Schizosaccharomyces pombe: one gene and its partners. Changing the gene in region 3 together with the main gene of any one other region gives a genetic interaction. Each region holds a gene or a part of one and is shown on either strand. Other genes may lie near its edges.

Region 1 (4,051 bases), on a different chromosome or scaffold from region 3:
ACTAATATATTTATATACGTTTGTGGTAAGTATACTTTATTCTTTGTATTAGTAAATCATAGCCTTTGTATATTACCATTATCCCTAAAATATACAAACTAAAACAAATCCTTGTGATGCTCCCAAAAAGATTAAAACCTATAATATTAATACGGTTTGAATTGCCGCTTTTCTTTTAATTGTTGGATACGCTGTTTATCGAACTCAAACTTATGAGCTAAATCCAAAAGAGCCTTCTTTTTCTTTTCCCGAAGCTGGAAACGGTAAAAATCTTTGTGGATCCCAGTGTCTTTTTTCTTTTCCAATTGACGCTCAGCATCCTGAGGTCGCCCGACAGGTGCCCGGCCGCTGCGAACGACCGTTACGAATCCATCTTCATCAGGTTGATTTTTCATAGCGAATAGTCTCCTCTTTTCTGCTATTTCCTTTTTAGTAACACGTTTCATGTATGAATCAACACTTTCGGCTAGAACACGTGGATTGACAAACTGTCTATCATAACTTTCTACATAACCTATTAAACACATTAGTATTTCCAAAAAAATAATGACCATGTTCTTACGTTTCAAACCAGTATGCTGTGTGAACTTCCAAGGAAGCGAGGTCGTCTTTTTAGAAGCTGCCTTGATAACTTGTTTAACTTCAGCGGGCTCGACTAATTTGACGCGTAAATGGGTGCCACTTTTCAAAAGGCCACTAATATTAGGATAGATATTAACGATACGACCGCCCAATTGAGAAATTGCTCTTTTCAAAATCTTTTCAGTAGTTGTGATAGGAACATTAATCAAATACAGTGACTTCTTTTCAACATCTTCCGTGTCTTCTTTCAAAAATATACTATGCAACCTCTTTTTATTTTCCAAATAAATTTCTAGTTTAACAAACCCTTTTTCTTTGAGCTTGTCCATTTATATGAGTTGTTTGGTTCTTGGGTAAAATGCAATTTGTTACTGAGCTTGACCGAGGGCAAGACCATAGGAGCTGTATACTCTTATACCTTCGCATACTTCATCTCGTTGTGACTATAATTATTATTATATACAATATACATTAAGAATGTTAGAATAAGCGAAAATTAAACTAAGATTTGCTTATTTTCTAGGATTAAAAAAAAAATGTAATTATACAACTTGTAATTTATTTGCTGCTAAATAAAAGCTCCAAAAAGCAATGTAATAATTGAATTGGGAGCTAGAGGTGTTGGATTGTAAATTAATAAAAAAATACAGCTATATTGATATGCGTGGTTGCTAATTGCATTTAGTGTTCCTAACCAAGATAAACGTTTTTAAAAAAGATCCTTATAGCCTACTCATACAAAGTATAGTGCTCGGTATAGTCATTTAAAAGGATTATTGATATTTGAATAAATTACTGCACACGCTTAAGGTAACTTTTTGCATTATAAAATGGTCATTCAAAATTTTTCGTAATAACAAAGAAACGTTATTGTATACTTCTTGTTCGATTGGACTCACTACCTTCTACGACTTCCCTTATGCAAAATCAGTTTTCCAAAAGTTTGAAGTCTTTTAAGTTCTGAGTTTGGGTTAATTGTAGGGGTTTTGCGTCTTATTGGAGTCACAGGAAGCTCTATAGGGCTAAGTTTTCTCAACGGTGAGGATGAGTCTGCATTAAAATAAAAAGCTTCTGCAGCATCATATTGGTTACTTGCTGATTCTTCAAGAGATATGAAAGAACGGTTTTTACTCACAGAAAGAGAATCCACTGATGTGTAAGGCGAGTAACCCCTCGATGCATCAATAACGTTGATACTTTCCGTAGAAACATTAGACACGTTGTTGATTTCTGTATGACATGATTCTTTTTTCACTTTGTAAGGAGGTGATCTAATTGTATTAGAATGTGATGGATGCTTGTTTTTTGAAGTAGTGGGACCGGTTTTTGAAAAAGTATAGCTGACTATTTCATCCTCTTCTAAATAGTCTGGTAATCGGTAATTATTTTGTGAAAGTAATTTATTATTGTCACTTAAATTATATTTTAAGCATTCAAAGCCCATCGGAGAATCCTCTATACTATAAGTCGACATATTTAACGTAGGATCTGAAGTTTTTAATATCATCAATCTTGCAGAATCATGTCTTAGTTTACTCAATGCTTCTTCAGCTCGCAATGGCAAAGGAAGAGATTCAAATAATTGTTCAAATTTCACTTGGATTCGATCTTCTTTTGGTGCATTATTTATGAACGCGTGCGATTCACTTTGTTCCAACATTTTGCCATGCGATTTATCTTTTTAAAGATATGACTTTAGGTTAAAATGAAGTTTAACAAAGTTTTGAGATTTGGATAAATCCAACTTTTCAATAATTGCTTCATTTAGGTGTTAAGGCTCAAGAAAATTGGTTAGTGAAGAAGGTAAATAAAATCAACGATATATATACTGTAGGTGCTTGCAAAAAATGTCTTCAATGAAAAACCTAGGAATTGATTAAAGGGATGATAAAGACAAAAGAGGTATAGAGTTTATATATACTATTTATTTGATACAGCGAACCGCTGACATTTTGTAGAATACAACTTATGTAGCTTAATTGAATGTTTTGATCGCAAAAAAAGGGTTTCTAGGAATTTTCGATATATTAGAGCTAGATGAGATGAAGTATTAGGAAAATGTTTTTTTTTTCTATATATAGAAATAGCAATACCAATAAACGCGCGACAAATAAGCTTACTATTTACAATGTAAAACAAACATTTCTCTCAAGCTGCGAAACCAATGTGATTTCTAATTCTAAACCATACTTATTCATTCTGTAAGTTCAGAGCGAATATCTTGCAAATTAGCGGAAACATTCATTAATGCTCGTGTGCGGGCAAGCAATGCATTTCCTTACGACTGATATTGTTCCGGCAGTGACCCAAAAAGTCATATGCCTTTGAAACTAATTACAATGTTCAATATCAAATGTATATATGAGGTATTAATTCATAATAATAATTCATTCGTATGAATAACAGCTCAAATATTTTTTATTTTTACTGTATATATTCGTCTATGGATAGAACCGTACAACTAGGAAGGTTGTCCGAGTGGTTATGGAGCTAGTTTAAGGCACTAGTGCGAAAGCTCGTGGGTTCGAGTCCCACACCTTTCAATACTATTTTTATTCTTTTGGATATCTGCAAAATGTCAATGTAAAAAAAGGAGAAAACCGAAATTGATAAATATTTTTTTGAATTCAACTTTAAAACAACTTCATATATTGATCCTTAATAGTTTATCATTTTTGCTGTCTTTACATCACACTATTACAATTTAGTGTATTGTAGCAAACCTTTATTATTCCAAATCCTTTCTAAACAATGTTTAACGAAATACAGTGACTCTCATCAAATCTCTTTACTACCCCCAGCTACATTTCCTAATAAGGTTTTATAAATGGCCTACCATAGGTCATACTGGTTTCACACACCGAATAGGATTCTACAGGTTCAAAGCACTACCGTGCACTCATACTCCATATAATATATTACAGTGTTTATAAGGGTGTAGCATATTTACCTTCTACCACATACAACAACCCCCTCTAGCAATAATACAAAATAAGCAAGCCACTGTTAGTTGATTTGGCTTTCGTACATTCTTCTTGTTTTTTCTTGTGCTGTCTTTATTCAAGATTGAAGTAAATTACTTGTTACGGAAAAACCATCATAATGACTTCTTACGGCAATGGCTTTCGCATGATGGCGAAATGTCTTTTATCTCTACGTTCAGGATATTCAGTCACTGCTCCAGTGTCTAAATCCATGGCCAACGTCCTTTGGGCCCGTTATGGTATGTGTTGTTGATCATGATGTAGATATTGTTTGTTAAAGGAGACGGGATATATATGTTAGTACTCAACTTGCTCATAAGAATCAACTTTTGCTAAGTGCATCTGTCTTAAACTTTATTTTGAATCAAGTGGACGCTGTTGATTTCAAAATAATTAAATAATTCTTCACAAGGTCATATTCACACATGAATAGGAATTCTCAACTATGTTTTCTTCCTTTCACTCAGTATCTTCGGGATTTACTT
Region 2 (4,270 bases), on a different chromosome or scaffold from region 3:
GGGACACATCTCGTAATAATTCCTCTTCAGATTTATATGCACAGAGCGGGATGCACCCAAATATGAATAACGGTCACAGGGGTGCACCTAGAAATAATTCCTCAAATGATTTGCATGCTCATGGTGGTATGCCAGTCAATATGCGTGGTCCTAGGAACACTTCAAGAAACAATTCTTCAAGTGAATTTAATGCGCAAATTCCAATGAATTTACGTAATGGTCCTAGAAACGCATCTAGGAGTAATTCTTCAACTGATTTGTTCGGTCAAAGTGGCATTCCTGGAAATTCCCGTGGTATGCCAACTTCTCCTAACTCCAGAAATAATTCAGCCTTGGATCTCAGTATGCACGGCATTCCACTAGCAAACAACTCTCGCCAATTCAAGAGACCAAGTTATGGAAATATGTCAAGACCTTCTTTTGAGTTAAATGGTAGTCGTAATCCCTCACATGGCAGCCTGAATACCGCCCATGCCGGCATGGGTTATGGTCCTCGCAGTATGATGAGAGACCCTCAAAATTTATCTAATGTTCCCCCTGTTTCAAATACGTTAGATCAGCTTTCAGGCAACGCTGATTTCGAGCTTCCGGTTCGTGGTAACCGTAATAATAGACGGGGACCTGGTGGAAATCGGATGATCCGTTAATGATTATTCAATTGGACATTTTGTCTTCATTCTGCTAGCTTATGTATAATTTGAGAATTGATAGTTTCGGTAAACTGTCGATTTATTCCCTTAGATTGATTCTTTACTCATCTTCTTTCATTTCATTCATTTTACTTTTATTACAATTTTACTATCTCTTTGGCGAACCTATTAATTAAAGGACTGGTTCCTTTTATAAATTTGCATGCACAGTTTCAATTATTCATTTTACTTATCTTTCCATCTCATTAATATTCTTTCAGAATAAGCATGAGAACAATGACGATATATTGGTATTACATTAAAAATAGTTGTAGGAATTGTGTAGTGCTATCGCAAACAGGTACTTTTTTATGGTTTGTAGAGTATGTGTTTTAAAAGATTTTTTGTTGCATTTATATTTACGGGCCAAAGAATACAGTAATGCAAAAATGTATCTATCATCAGTGTATCTTATGAGTTTGGAAAACAACCAATTGATTAAAAAGTATAATTAAAGATGCTAAGTTGATCGTGATCGTTGACAATAAGGCAAACATAAAGAATGAGGACTGGAGGAATTTCTAATTTACACACTAAGGAAGGATAAATACTTTTTCAAACATTATCAGTTGTTAGCTGATCTTTCTTTTTAGAAGCGATCTTTTGTTTGCCAGACGATTTCTTCTCTTTTGTTTTTTTATCAGAGGCATTTTCGGAAGCTTGAGAAGCAGTGCTATTAGAAACGGGGGTTTTTTTTGGCTTCTTTTTAGATTTTTTGCGATCAGAAACTTTATCTTCTTTGATTACAGCAGCTGCAGATTCAGCAGGTGCCTTTGAAGACTTTTTTGATTCTTGTGAGCTTTTACCAGCTTTTGAATTGTTAGATGCCGGCTTTTCAGCCAAGCGTAGCTTTTTCTTAGCCTTCACAGATTTCTTAGATGGTTTTGATTTTCCTTTTTCTACAACGGCATTTTTTTTCTCAGCAAGATATTGTAGTAATGGAGTAGAGGTTTGTAATTTTTCAATAACATCGTCATTGGACGCAGTTTGCGAATAGCTCTCCCGCTGAACCTTGAATTCTTGAAACTTCGGATCTTGTTCAAGTGAGCCTTCTAAACTATCTGCCTTTACTTTAGAAGGAGGAATCTTTTGATATGGAGCAATTGTGACAATTGCCCTATAAGTGTTGTCTAATGCATGTTTGAGTTAAAAAAGAAAAATTTGAATGGTAACAACTTACTCTTCTTATCTATGAAGGTATGTCCTTGGTATACGCGAAAAAATTCCTGAACAGCCGTGGCGGATTGGAACTTCAAATACGCAAAGGATAGCAATTCAGATCGAGTACTACAAAGGCACGATATTAGTAACTATTTGCAAGAAAGGTTAAAGAAATAAATAAATACCCAACAGTTGCTTTCCCTTTGGAGAATCGGTGCCATTCCACGTGTGGTAAAAATGAGTTGATGGATTGGAGAAACACTTGTTCAGGCAAAGTTGGTGGTAAATTAAAAACGAGGACTTTGCATGGTAATCGTTTTTTTGAGATATCAGGAGCCATCTACATACATGCAATGAAATGCTTAAGGTAGTTCCCCTATTATAGAAAATTGGTGATTGATGATAACCAAAGCTTTTTGTAGGGAGGGTACTTTTGCGCTACTTATTTTAAACAACCTTTCCTTCGTTTACCAGACCAATACAGCAATCTGCAATTTACTGATAAGGTTGCAATCATTTAGCCTCGTTTAAATAACTTAAAGAGATGAAGTAGTGCCTTTTTCTAAATGACGTTACGATGTTCTACCAGTTTTCTTATCCAAAATGCGAGACCAATTTGTTCATCGTTACTATACAATTAAGGAATTGATTATTGGGACAGGTAATTGCACTATTGAGTGCTTCAGTAACCTAAATTTTCGCAACTGTGCATTATTTCATATACCGCATTTTTTTGCTATACCGTTATATTTCAGTCTGCTCGAGTAATCGTGCGTTTATACTCGTTTATTCCACTATAACTTTATTTGCAAATGATGCAGAAGCTGCAAGAATCGTCTCATACTCTGAAAACGGTTTTTTCACCATCAATTAGTGCAATCGAAAGACAAATTTGAAAAACATCTGTATGCTCTAATTAAGTCATCACAATGAAAGTAACTGTATTCGGCAATTGCATACAGAATTTACTCTAATGTAAGCGGGAAGCCATCGCTCGACAAGTGATGACGTTTTCTACTCCACATTCGAATAATGTGGAGGAAAAAAGGTGTTAGCGAGTTTGAGACGATCAAAACTTGGTTTTACCCATTGATAGTTAACAAGGTAGTACGGATTAATAAAAGGACACGTCCAGCAAATTCTCAAGCGTTTTCGCTGGATCGTGATGGTTTGGAAGCGAATGTTTCGGCAACTTCGAAATGTTTCGATTTTTTTTGAGTATCGTAACGTAATTCCTTGACTTCGTCAGAATTCGTTCTCCCCGTTTCTCGAAGCATCTCGAGGGTTAGGGTTGGTGAAGGTTCGAGAATGGACAAAGGTACATAAATAGAGGTTGGGGGACGGCGAAAGGGATATCAACAATTCTTCAAACAGCAATTGTCGTTTCGATTGTTTATTTCGTCTTAAATTAAAAAAAGCATTTTCTAAAGCGCATTTGTGCGAATCTATCGTACCTGTGTTATAATACTTATTAATTCACGTTTATTTTGTTTACGAATTTAATTTCATTCCCCCGTTTTTCATTGATACGAATTTTCTTTACGAACTATTAATACATTTCAAATATGAGCAAGTCTATCGGTATTGATTTGGGTACTACTTACTCGTGCGTCGGTCATTTCTCGAATAATCGAGTGGAAATTATTGCCAATGACCAGGGAAATCGCACGACTCCCTCCTATGTTGCATTCACTGACACAGAACGATTGATCGGTGATGCTGCAAAAAATCAAGTTGCTATGAATCCTCACAACACTATTTTCGATGCCAAACGATTGATTGGCCGCAGATTTAACGATCCCGAAGTCCAATCTGATATGAAACATTGGCCTTTTAAGGTCATCGAGAAGGATGGTAAGCCTTTGATTCAGGTAGAGTTCAAGGGTGAGACCAAGACCTTTACACCAGAGGAAATCTCCTCTATGGTTTTATTGAAGATGCGTGAAAGCGCAGAAGCCTTTTTGGGTGGCAAAGTCACCGATGCCGTTGTTACTGTTCCCGCTTATTTCAATGACTCCCAACGTCAGGCCACGAAGGATGCCGGTTTGATTGCTGGACTAAACGTCCTTCGTATCATTAACGAGCCCACAGCTGCCGCCATTGCTTATGGTTTAGACAGAAGCAACCAGCATGAAACCAATGTCCTTATTTTCGACCTTGGTGGTGGTACTTTTGATGTCTCCCTTCTTACTATTGAAGAGGGTATTTTCGAAGTTAAAGCCACCGCTGGTGATACCCACTTGGGTGGTGAAGATTTTGACTCTCGCTTAGTGAACCACTTTGCCCAAGAATTCAAGCGTAAGAACAAGAAGGACATCACTGGCAACGCTCGTGCTGTTCGTCGACTACGTACTGCTTGCGAGCGTGCCAAGCGTACTCTTTCTTCTTCTGCTCAAGCCAGCATTGAAATTGATTCTTTG
Region 3 (7,750 bases):
ATGAGTGCTGCAGCCAAGTATGTGATTCTCTAGTTAATTATTTTCTCACCTCTACCTTTACTAACTTACTCTTTTATTATAGTTTCGACTATACTTGGTTGGATAACAACCGTAAACCCGTCCATTTACCCGCTCCCCAATATATTGAATACGTACTCGCTTGGATTGAAAATAGATTGCATGATCAAAACGTCTTTCCTACAAAGGCAGGCTTGCCATTTCCTTCAAATTTTCTTGTTATTGTTAAAGCCATATATAAACAAATGTTTCGCATTTTTGCCCATATGTATTATGCTCATTATGCAGAAATCCTTCATCTCTCTTTAGAAGCCCACTGGAATTCATTCTTTGCTCACTTTATTGCTTTTGGTAAAGAGTTTCAACTGTTGGATAAACGTGACACTGCTCCGTTAAAAGATCTTATTGTTGTCTTAGAAAATCAAGGAAATATTTAATATTCTTGCCGAAGGCAGGACACACTTCTGTTTTCTACCATTTATCTCTTTTGTTTTCGTCCTTTCCTTTACCCCCTCTTCCCACAAATACCCTCTTCCCTCGAATCCTCTCTCTGCTACACAGGCAGTAAGTTATATGCTAAATTCCTACACTTCCTTTTGTTCGTTTTTCGTTACCACCTTCATTAGCTAATTACTATTTGTATTTCTTGATGCCATTTTCTTTATTTTTACATCCTATTCCTTTTGGACTCTTGGCATATTCGCTTGCATTCACTGATTTCACGGGAATTTTTAAACAGACTTTGGCCGTATTCCTTAGAAATTATCTTCAACGTCCGTTTAGTTTCTTAACTATATCTTGCATTTTATGTGACTCATTCCACATTATTCCTTGATAATTATAAGAGATCTTATCCTTCTCAACAAAAATAATCCGCTAATGCTCTCCTTTCCTATATCTAACCATCAACTTCTTTTTTTAAAGTCCACAGCCTTGCTCCCCTTCTTAACCTTGGACTTGACCGATAAGCAAATTAAAAAAAAGTAAAACTTGTTACAACTGAAATTTGTTTTTGTTTTAATGTCCACTTTTTTTATAGCAGCAATTTACTCAAATGAACTGAAGACGTTTCCAAATTCGACACTTTTAATTTTTCCCTTCAGTCTTTTGTTGGGTTATTGGGCTTACTGATAAATAATTCAAAAAATTGTTTGTGGACGAACAGTGATTATAATTATTTCCTAAATTGAACGTTACATTCTCAAAGGATCGAGTTATGGTCTGACTCTCTTTTTATACTTTACGATAATTCAATTTTTGGGCATACTAATGGATATCCTTTAAACTGAAATAAATCTCAATGTAAATTTTGTTTATTTCTCTTTTAAGATTGCATTGGCTTGATCCTTCACTAGACTAGACTGTGTACGTATCATTGCTAACTTCAATCCAAGCAGATAAAAAAGTCTCTAGCTTATTCGTAAACATATAGTCACGTCAAATAATTAACTACTTAAAACATGTGCCGTGTAGTAAGATAAATTGCAGTAGAGTGAGTCGATTGGCAACATAAAACGAAGAACATTATTGAAACGAGGGAAGGGAAATAATCAAAATTAAAATCTAAAAGACAAATACTTGATCCTCAAGCTTCGAAATGGCTCGGGACTTTTCATATCCCAATGCAACTGTAGCTTCTCTGAGTGAATTAACCATGGGAGTAGGGCCACAAATAAGAACTTTGGTTTCAGGAGAAGGAGCAGGGAAATGCGCCTTGATAAGTTCTTGAGTAACAAATCCAACACTTCCCTTCCAGTTTTCAGGAGGATTGTTCAAAACATAATGAACGGTAAAACGAGGATCCTTCTTAGCAAGTGCGTCAATCTCATCACGAAGAACAATATCACCCTCTGATACATTAGCATATAAAAGAGTGATTTCCGTTGGATCTTCAAAATTAGAAAGAACAGCACGAATGATTTGAAGCATAGGAGTAATACCTGTTCCGCCTGCGATCATGCCAAAATGGCGCGCGAGGCCAGTGCGATGCTTCCAATTTCCCTTAGGGCCACGAACACCGATGGTATCACCAATCTTAAGTTCAGAAAACTTCTTACTCACTTTGCCATTGGGGTAAGACTTTACGAGCAAATCAAAATAACCTTTGTCAGCATCGGAAGACAGAGGAGTGTAAGATCTGGAATACTCCTTACCATCAACATCAACAAAGACCTTTAAATGTTGTCCTATGGGGAGACCAAGAACATCGTTAGCGCGAGGCAGACGGAAACGATAAATGGCAGTGTTGTGGTTCAATACAGCTTTATCACTAAGTTCAAATTGTTGAATTTTATCACTCAATACTTTACGAACGCGTCCACGCCAGAACTTATGAAAACCAAGAGAGAATGCCACAACAATAGCGTAACCCACCCATTCGCGTTTCACAATGTAAGTACCAAAGATGATCAAAAACACTGGAATATAGACTCCATGCAACGGGGTACTAAGAAGAGTTTGTTTGGCCATTTCAATTAGGATTGTGAGCCAAAATAACTAAAGAAAAAGTAGAGAAGCCTGAAAGCAGAAGAAATGCGAAACGTTTCCAGAAGACTCAAATTACAAAATCTTCAAGAAACTAAAATAATTTAAAGAATAAGAAACCTTTCAATAGTTTCAAAAAATTTAAAAGAAATCTCTAGTTTTCACGATTCCTGCAGTATTGCTAACAGTAGAAGTTTGGTCAAGGGCAAGTCTATAAAACTAATCAGATTTCTCGAATGATTTTTTAAGGTCATGAACAACTAAGCATGGAATACTGACGAAAGAGAACATAAATCATCACATAATCCATTTCATTGTAAATTATATAGATTGAGGGCTTTCGCTTCAAAATCTGCTAAAATTATTTATTTTGAAAAACCAGCTTGTCGAACCATACTTGTTCGCAAGCATATGCTTGTTTATCACGCCGATTCATAATTTAAGAAATGAATTAAATTTTAATAACTAAATTTTGTAAATTCGTTAATAAATAGTCTTTCAGCAATGATCTACTACCGGAATACATGAGATATATCCATCTATTTATATATAATTCGGTATACAGTTTGGAAGTGAAACACCGTCTCTGAGGAACAAGCATTAAAAGACAGGTAATTGTTTCCAAGTAAGAAGAAGCAATTTAAAAACCCTAGATCCATCAACTTGCATTACTTAACATCACATTTTTTAGTAAAGGACCAGTGTAGGCACTAAAAGGAAGAACCCCAATAGCATCCAATGTTTCCTCAGGTTTTCAAAATTTTTGTTAGCGAAAGATACAGGAGCAGTATAAAGCCCTGCATTGGGGTCTCCTGTTGATGATCCTCCATTCGAAGCCTTAAAGACTTGAAGCGATTTTAAAAGTAAGGGAGCTTGAATAGCTTCCAATGCAGACATTTGCTCTCCAAGGCCATAAAGTCCTATTATAAAGTTAGAACCAATACTGTTTTTTTTTAACAGTCAAACATACCATCCCAAGTATCGTTATTCCACCACCATTGAACACCACAAGTCACTCCATCATAACCGCCGCAACATGCCCCGGCTGCAGCTTTGGCGGTGGATATCAACAATGGTTCTAATAACGGTGCAGTGAATGGAGCCATTTGTGCCGTGTAGACCATAAATCTGGTCAAAAAGCCTTTGAAAGACGTTTGATCATAGTTACATGAAAGAGCTATTTCACATACTGGTTCGAACATAATATCCTTGAAAAAAAAGGTTTTGGCAGTTTTGTTGGCAAAACCTTCAACTCGAGTTTTCCATACCGTAGAGTTCGTCTGGTGAAACTGTTAGTTACAATCATTTTGCATTTTACAGTAAAGTTATAATGTATATATCCTTTAAACGTACATAGTTATACATGTAAGCTGCTCCTGCCATGTATAATCCTATATTGTAAGTCCACTGAGTAATTTCGATAGATGAGCAATTATCTTTTATAGAACTCCCATCAAATACAGTGTAATCTTCTTGAATAAACCCAATCCTTTGGCTCCAATCGTATGCTACATTAGCCCACTCAGCATAAGTATCGTTATCGGTGAATCGAGCCAGTCGAGCTGCAAGCTGAAAAAATGCTCCATTTGAGACAGTGTTCTTATAGTTGTACCCAGAGTTAAATTCAGTAATCTGCCATCGAAGACCACCGTTGCAATGATCCGTGTCCCATCGTGTGACCTGTTGGTTGAATACAGCTTGAGCCAGTTCCAACCATTGTGGTTCATCGGCTGCTGGATTTGAAAAGTTTGCTTCAGCGGCAGATATAACGGTCAGACCCCAAAATGCCTGATCGTCATTTCCCTCAGATGTTGTATAATTCGAAGGCATATAATCTGAATCCTCTCCAGATTGGTACAACATGCTGGTCTTTACCAACTCGTTATATGTACTATTACCAGTGGCAATGTATCTATTTAAAAGTCCCTAAAGCCATTGTTGTTAATAAATTATACTTTTAAGCTCAACGTACATTCCAAGCAGCCCCGGCTTCCCACCAGTAGGCTGGAGGAAGGAACATCCCGATAGTTCCTCCTTTGTGCTGACCAGCATAATAATTCAATAATCCATCAGCTACTAAAGAAGTGGCTAAGTCAACGGAGGACGTGTCATTCAAATCCACCGAAATGGCTTCAGCGAAGGAAAACAAAATAGTTGCAAGTGAAATAAAGATTGTAAGACTCATTGAAAAAGAAGGATTAAATAGAGTAGTATCTTTGAAGATTCCCATATGTATCCAGATGACTGTCGCCCTTCATATGATTCAATGATGACTCATTAATGACTGATAGAAATAATCTAAACAGTAAACAACGAACGACCAAAGGTAGGGAAAAAATATAACTTAACGCAATCTATCTTCTATAAAATTCTTAAGCCTTTCAATGAAAATACTCTCACATTTATTCGTGAGACCGACAGCCCCATGCATATCACAATGAGCAAGAAGGAAAACCTTAGAAAAAATACATCAAAAAGGTATTATTTAAATTGTGTCTTTTTGTTTTAACCGCAATTTTAACTGTTTGAATATAACAGTTTGTACATGGTATCCCAGTACTTTCTAGCGGTGGACTTATTTCCTCGTTCGTTTAGAGTATGTTCTTGCCTTTTCTTTTTTACCTTCCTTTCCCTCAATTTTCGGTTTTTTTAAACTGGATATTGTCTCCTTAACTGAGCGTAAAGTTTCATCGTGAAGTTCGAACTTTTCATATAGAGAGAGACAAAAGGACTTCAACTACAAATAAAATTAGTAATTTATTCTTCTTAAAGTTTATTTTTCTCTACTATATAAAGAATCACTGTACATGCCTTTATAATGTCCTCTCTCATTTCTAAATCAACTTGATACCGTGTAAGGCCTTCAGGATTTACGGTCTTATTACCTAGTTGGTAGCTTCACTGGGGTTAGTAACTAAGATGAAATCATGAACTTACGCTTGTAATTTGTCCATTGAAAAAGTATACATATCTCTACATGATTTTGTTAAAATTTGGTCAACCAAGTACGACTAGACATACCTAATATCATCAAGATATATAGGTGTAGAATTATACACCTTCCCAATCACTTCATTGCATCTAGTACAACTCAACTCTGAATAGACGCTATAATTTTTGTATTAGTAAACTGGCGAGCAACACATGCAACATACCAAAGACCATCATCACTCCTTTTAAACGTATCCTCAACGCGTACACTATTTTCTACTGCATCTAAATGAAATAATTAATTACATGGACATTTCTTTTACCACATACCACTCAAAGTGAAACTAAGATATTCTCGATGAGAAATAACCCAAGCATTAGAATCACCAACTATTTGAAAACATTTTTTACATTGGAAGACGCTAGGTTGTGACTCTTTTTTAAAATCAATATAGCCCGAATGACTAGTTTCCGTCTGGGACATACTTATGGAAAGTTCATTTTATCTAGTAGTAGTCGTTATTAATTAGGTGCGCTTAACATTCTATATATGGTGAACCAATATATATCAGATGTAGAAGCAAAAATTAAATATATTACAAAATTATAAAAAAATAAATTACTCATAGTCCTTTAACTGTTTTCGGAAGAAGGAATAAAGACGCCTTCCTGCTTCGGGGCCAATTAGTTCTGACCATTTTCTTTCTGAGGTTTCGGAAGCTTCTTGAATATCTTTCACGCCTCCATAAAACACATTTCTGTAGTTTTTCATAGTTATGTATGGGAGTCCCATTAGCAGGTCGAGTGGAGCTTGATTATAAGTATTCGTTGAGTCTTGCCCAGCTTCCAAACCTATAGAGGCAGCTGAAGCAGGATCTGGTTCTTGTTCCATGGCTTTCAAATCTTGAAAAATAATTGATGTAACGTAGGCACTAGAAGACCAAACAATCCTTAAGTTGGGAAACGATAATGTTAACAGTACCAGTTTAGATTGAACATCATTTTTTCCAATTTCGCTTGAAAGGTCGGAGAAAGGCTAAAAGCTGTCAGACATAGATTGTTTTAGTCAGACTTACTGGAGATGTAAAAGATTGGTGTTGTTCGAATTCAATTAACAAAACTGGAATTTCATAATATTCAGTCATAGCTTCACATTGGGAATAAAGACGGCCATTGCTTAATGATTGGATCAAATCTCTAATTGACTTCCTTTCAACACAGATCTTTGGTGATAATATATAATCTCCCACTAAGAGTTGGCAAGGGATAACAGAAAAATTATTTCCATGTAATATGGAAGGTAACGAACTACGGAATTCCCTCAAGTCAACGATAACCTTTAACGTTTTAATACATATAAACATAAGATATAATGAACGTACCCTAGGTTTCTCATTTGTGATCGATAACTGTCCTCCTCCAGCTATACGAGTATTGACATTTCTTAAAAACTTTGACTCTTGGCTTTCGAACCTTTCGGAATCAGCCGTCAGTACGATAGCCATATTCTTTTTAGATTAGCAAGTTTTGAAAAGTTTAGAATAACTTACAGATCGTTCTTTAATAAGACGAGAGAATGAATCTTTCTCTCTCCTTACAGAAAAAAGATATTTTTGCTCCTCAATCGATCCTCCATAGTACATAAAATAAACCCTTAGAGATCTTTTGGGATATGTAGCTTTGTAAACCTCGACTCTTCGAATAAAATTGGGATCAGAATCGAACATAATAACGTACCGAGGTCTTAAATTATTTAATACTAACTCATCTCTTTCACCATTGTAGGAATAGATATAGATGGAATTGAAATCATCAATAACTTCAAATGCATCATTGCCCACTTCAGGTTCATAACGTTTGGATAAGTGTGAGAGCAGACTAGACTTATTAGCGTGTAAAACCTAATAATTAGCGTACATTTTCTCTAGGCGTAAATCCCTACTAAAAGAATCATTCGCATCTGTATTATCAGAAGTTGTGCGTGAAGTGGCATTGTTTCCACCTCTTACCCTTCTTCTCTTTGAAGGTGGAACACCTTTTCTAGACGTTGTATTAGAAGCCTCTCGCTCCTTGGAAGGCTCTGGTTTCTTGATTGATTTACTCATCTTTCTATATTGTTCTCTCCATTGAAAATAGTCCACTAATTTGCTATTCATATTTTTCAAAGAGTCTTTATTGTCGTAAGTCACCGTACTCAAATAATCACGTAACTGTAAACAAGTACGCTCATCTGCGCACATAATCATTATCGAATTATTGGATGTTTCTGAAAGATTTGTTAATATTTCTTCCTTTAAAGAGAGTTTTTTTTATACCT

What was found. A genetic interaction does not mean that the proteins touch.
Region 1: mutations in mis18 (region 3) and mis20 impair growth when combined (synthetic growth defect), as found in Schizosaccharomyces pombe (one study listed by BioGRID).
Region 2: of mis18 (region 3) and upf3, a mutation in one rescues a mutant of the other (synthetic rescue), as found in Schizosaccharomyces pombe (one study listed by BioGRID).

Annotation. Positions count from the first base shown.
Region 1 is NC_003423.3:3,208,213-3,212,263, reverse strand, and holds mis20 (protein Mis20), read right to left. Parts: upstream 2,379-4,051; 5' UTR 2,243-2,378; coding exon 1,481-2,242; 3' UTR 1,101-1,480; downstream 1-1,100. Other genes in the region: rRNA processing protein Rrp7, read right to left, coding at 147-514, 563-911; kgd2 (dihydrolipoyllysine-residue succinyltransferase), read left to right, coding at 3,685-3,805.
Region 2 is NC_003424.3:2,296,899-2,301,168, reverse strand, and holds upf3 (protein upf3), read right to left. Parts: upstream 2,271-4,270; 5' UTR 2,191-2,270; coding exon 2,036-2,190; exon of another isoform or gene 1,977-2,035; coding exon 1,870-1,976; exon of another isoform or gene 1,820-1,869; coding exon 1,245-1,819; 3' UTR 1,101-1,244; downstream 1-1,100. Other genes in the region: protein Mac1, read left to right, coding at 1-647; heat shock protein Ssa1, read left to right, coding at 3,416-4,270. UniProt on the Schizosaccharomyces pombe protein: Involved in nonsense-mediated decay of mRNAs containing premature stop codons.
Region 3 is NC_003421.2:508,854-516,603, forward strand, and holds mis18 (kinetochore protein Mis18), read right to left. Parts: upstream 5,955-7,750; 5' UTR 5,918-5,954; coding exon 5,764-5,917; exon of another isoform or gene 5,719-5,763; coding exon 5,658-5,718; exon of another isoform or gene 5,611-5,657; coding exon 5,524-5,610; exon of another isoform or gene 5,476-5,523; coding exon 5,440-5,475; exon of another isoform or gene 5,399-5,439; coding exon 5,314-5,398; exon of another isoform or gene 5,258-5,313; intron 5,240-5,257; coding exon 5,078-5,239; downstream 1-5,077. Other genes in the region: protein kinase activator Mob2, read left to right, coding at 1-17, 83-455; cbr1 (cytochrome b5 reductase), read right to left, coding at 1,582-2,487; dcw1 (mannan endo-1,6-alpha-mannosidase), read right to left, coding at 3,190-3,422, 3,473-3,782, 3,856-4,428, 4,475-4,687; rad16 (DNA repair endonuclease XPF), read right to left, coding at 6,053-6,469, 6,510-6,770, 6,816-6,941, 6,984-7,311, 7,351-7,699, 7,749-7,750. UniProt on the Schizosaccharomyces pombe protein: Component of the CENP-A recruiting complex that ensures the integrity of mitotic spindles through maintenance of kinetochore factors mis6/CENP-I and cnp1/CENP-A. Maintains the deacetylated state of histones specifically in the central core of the centromeres.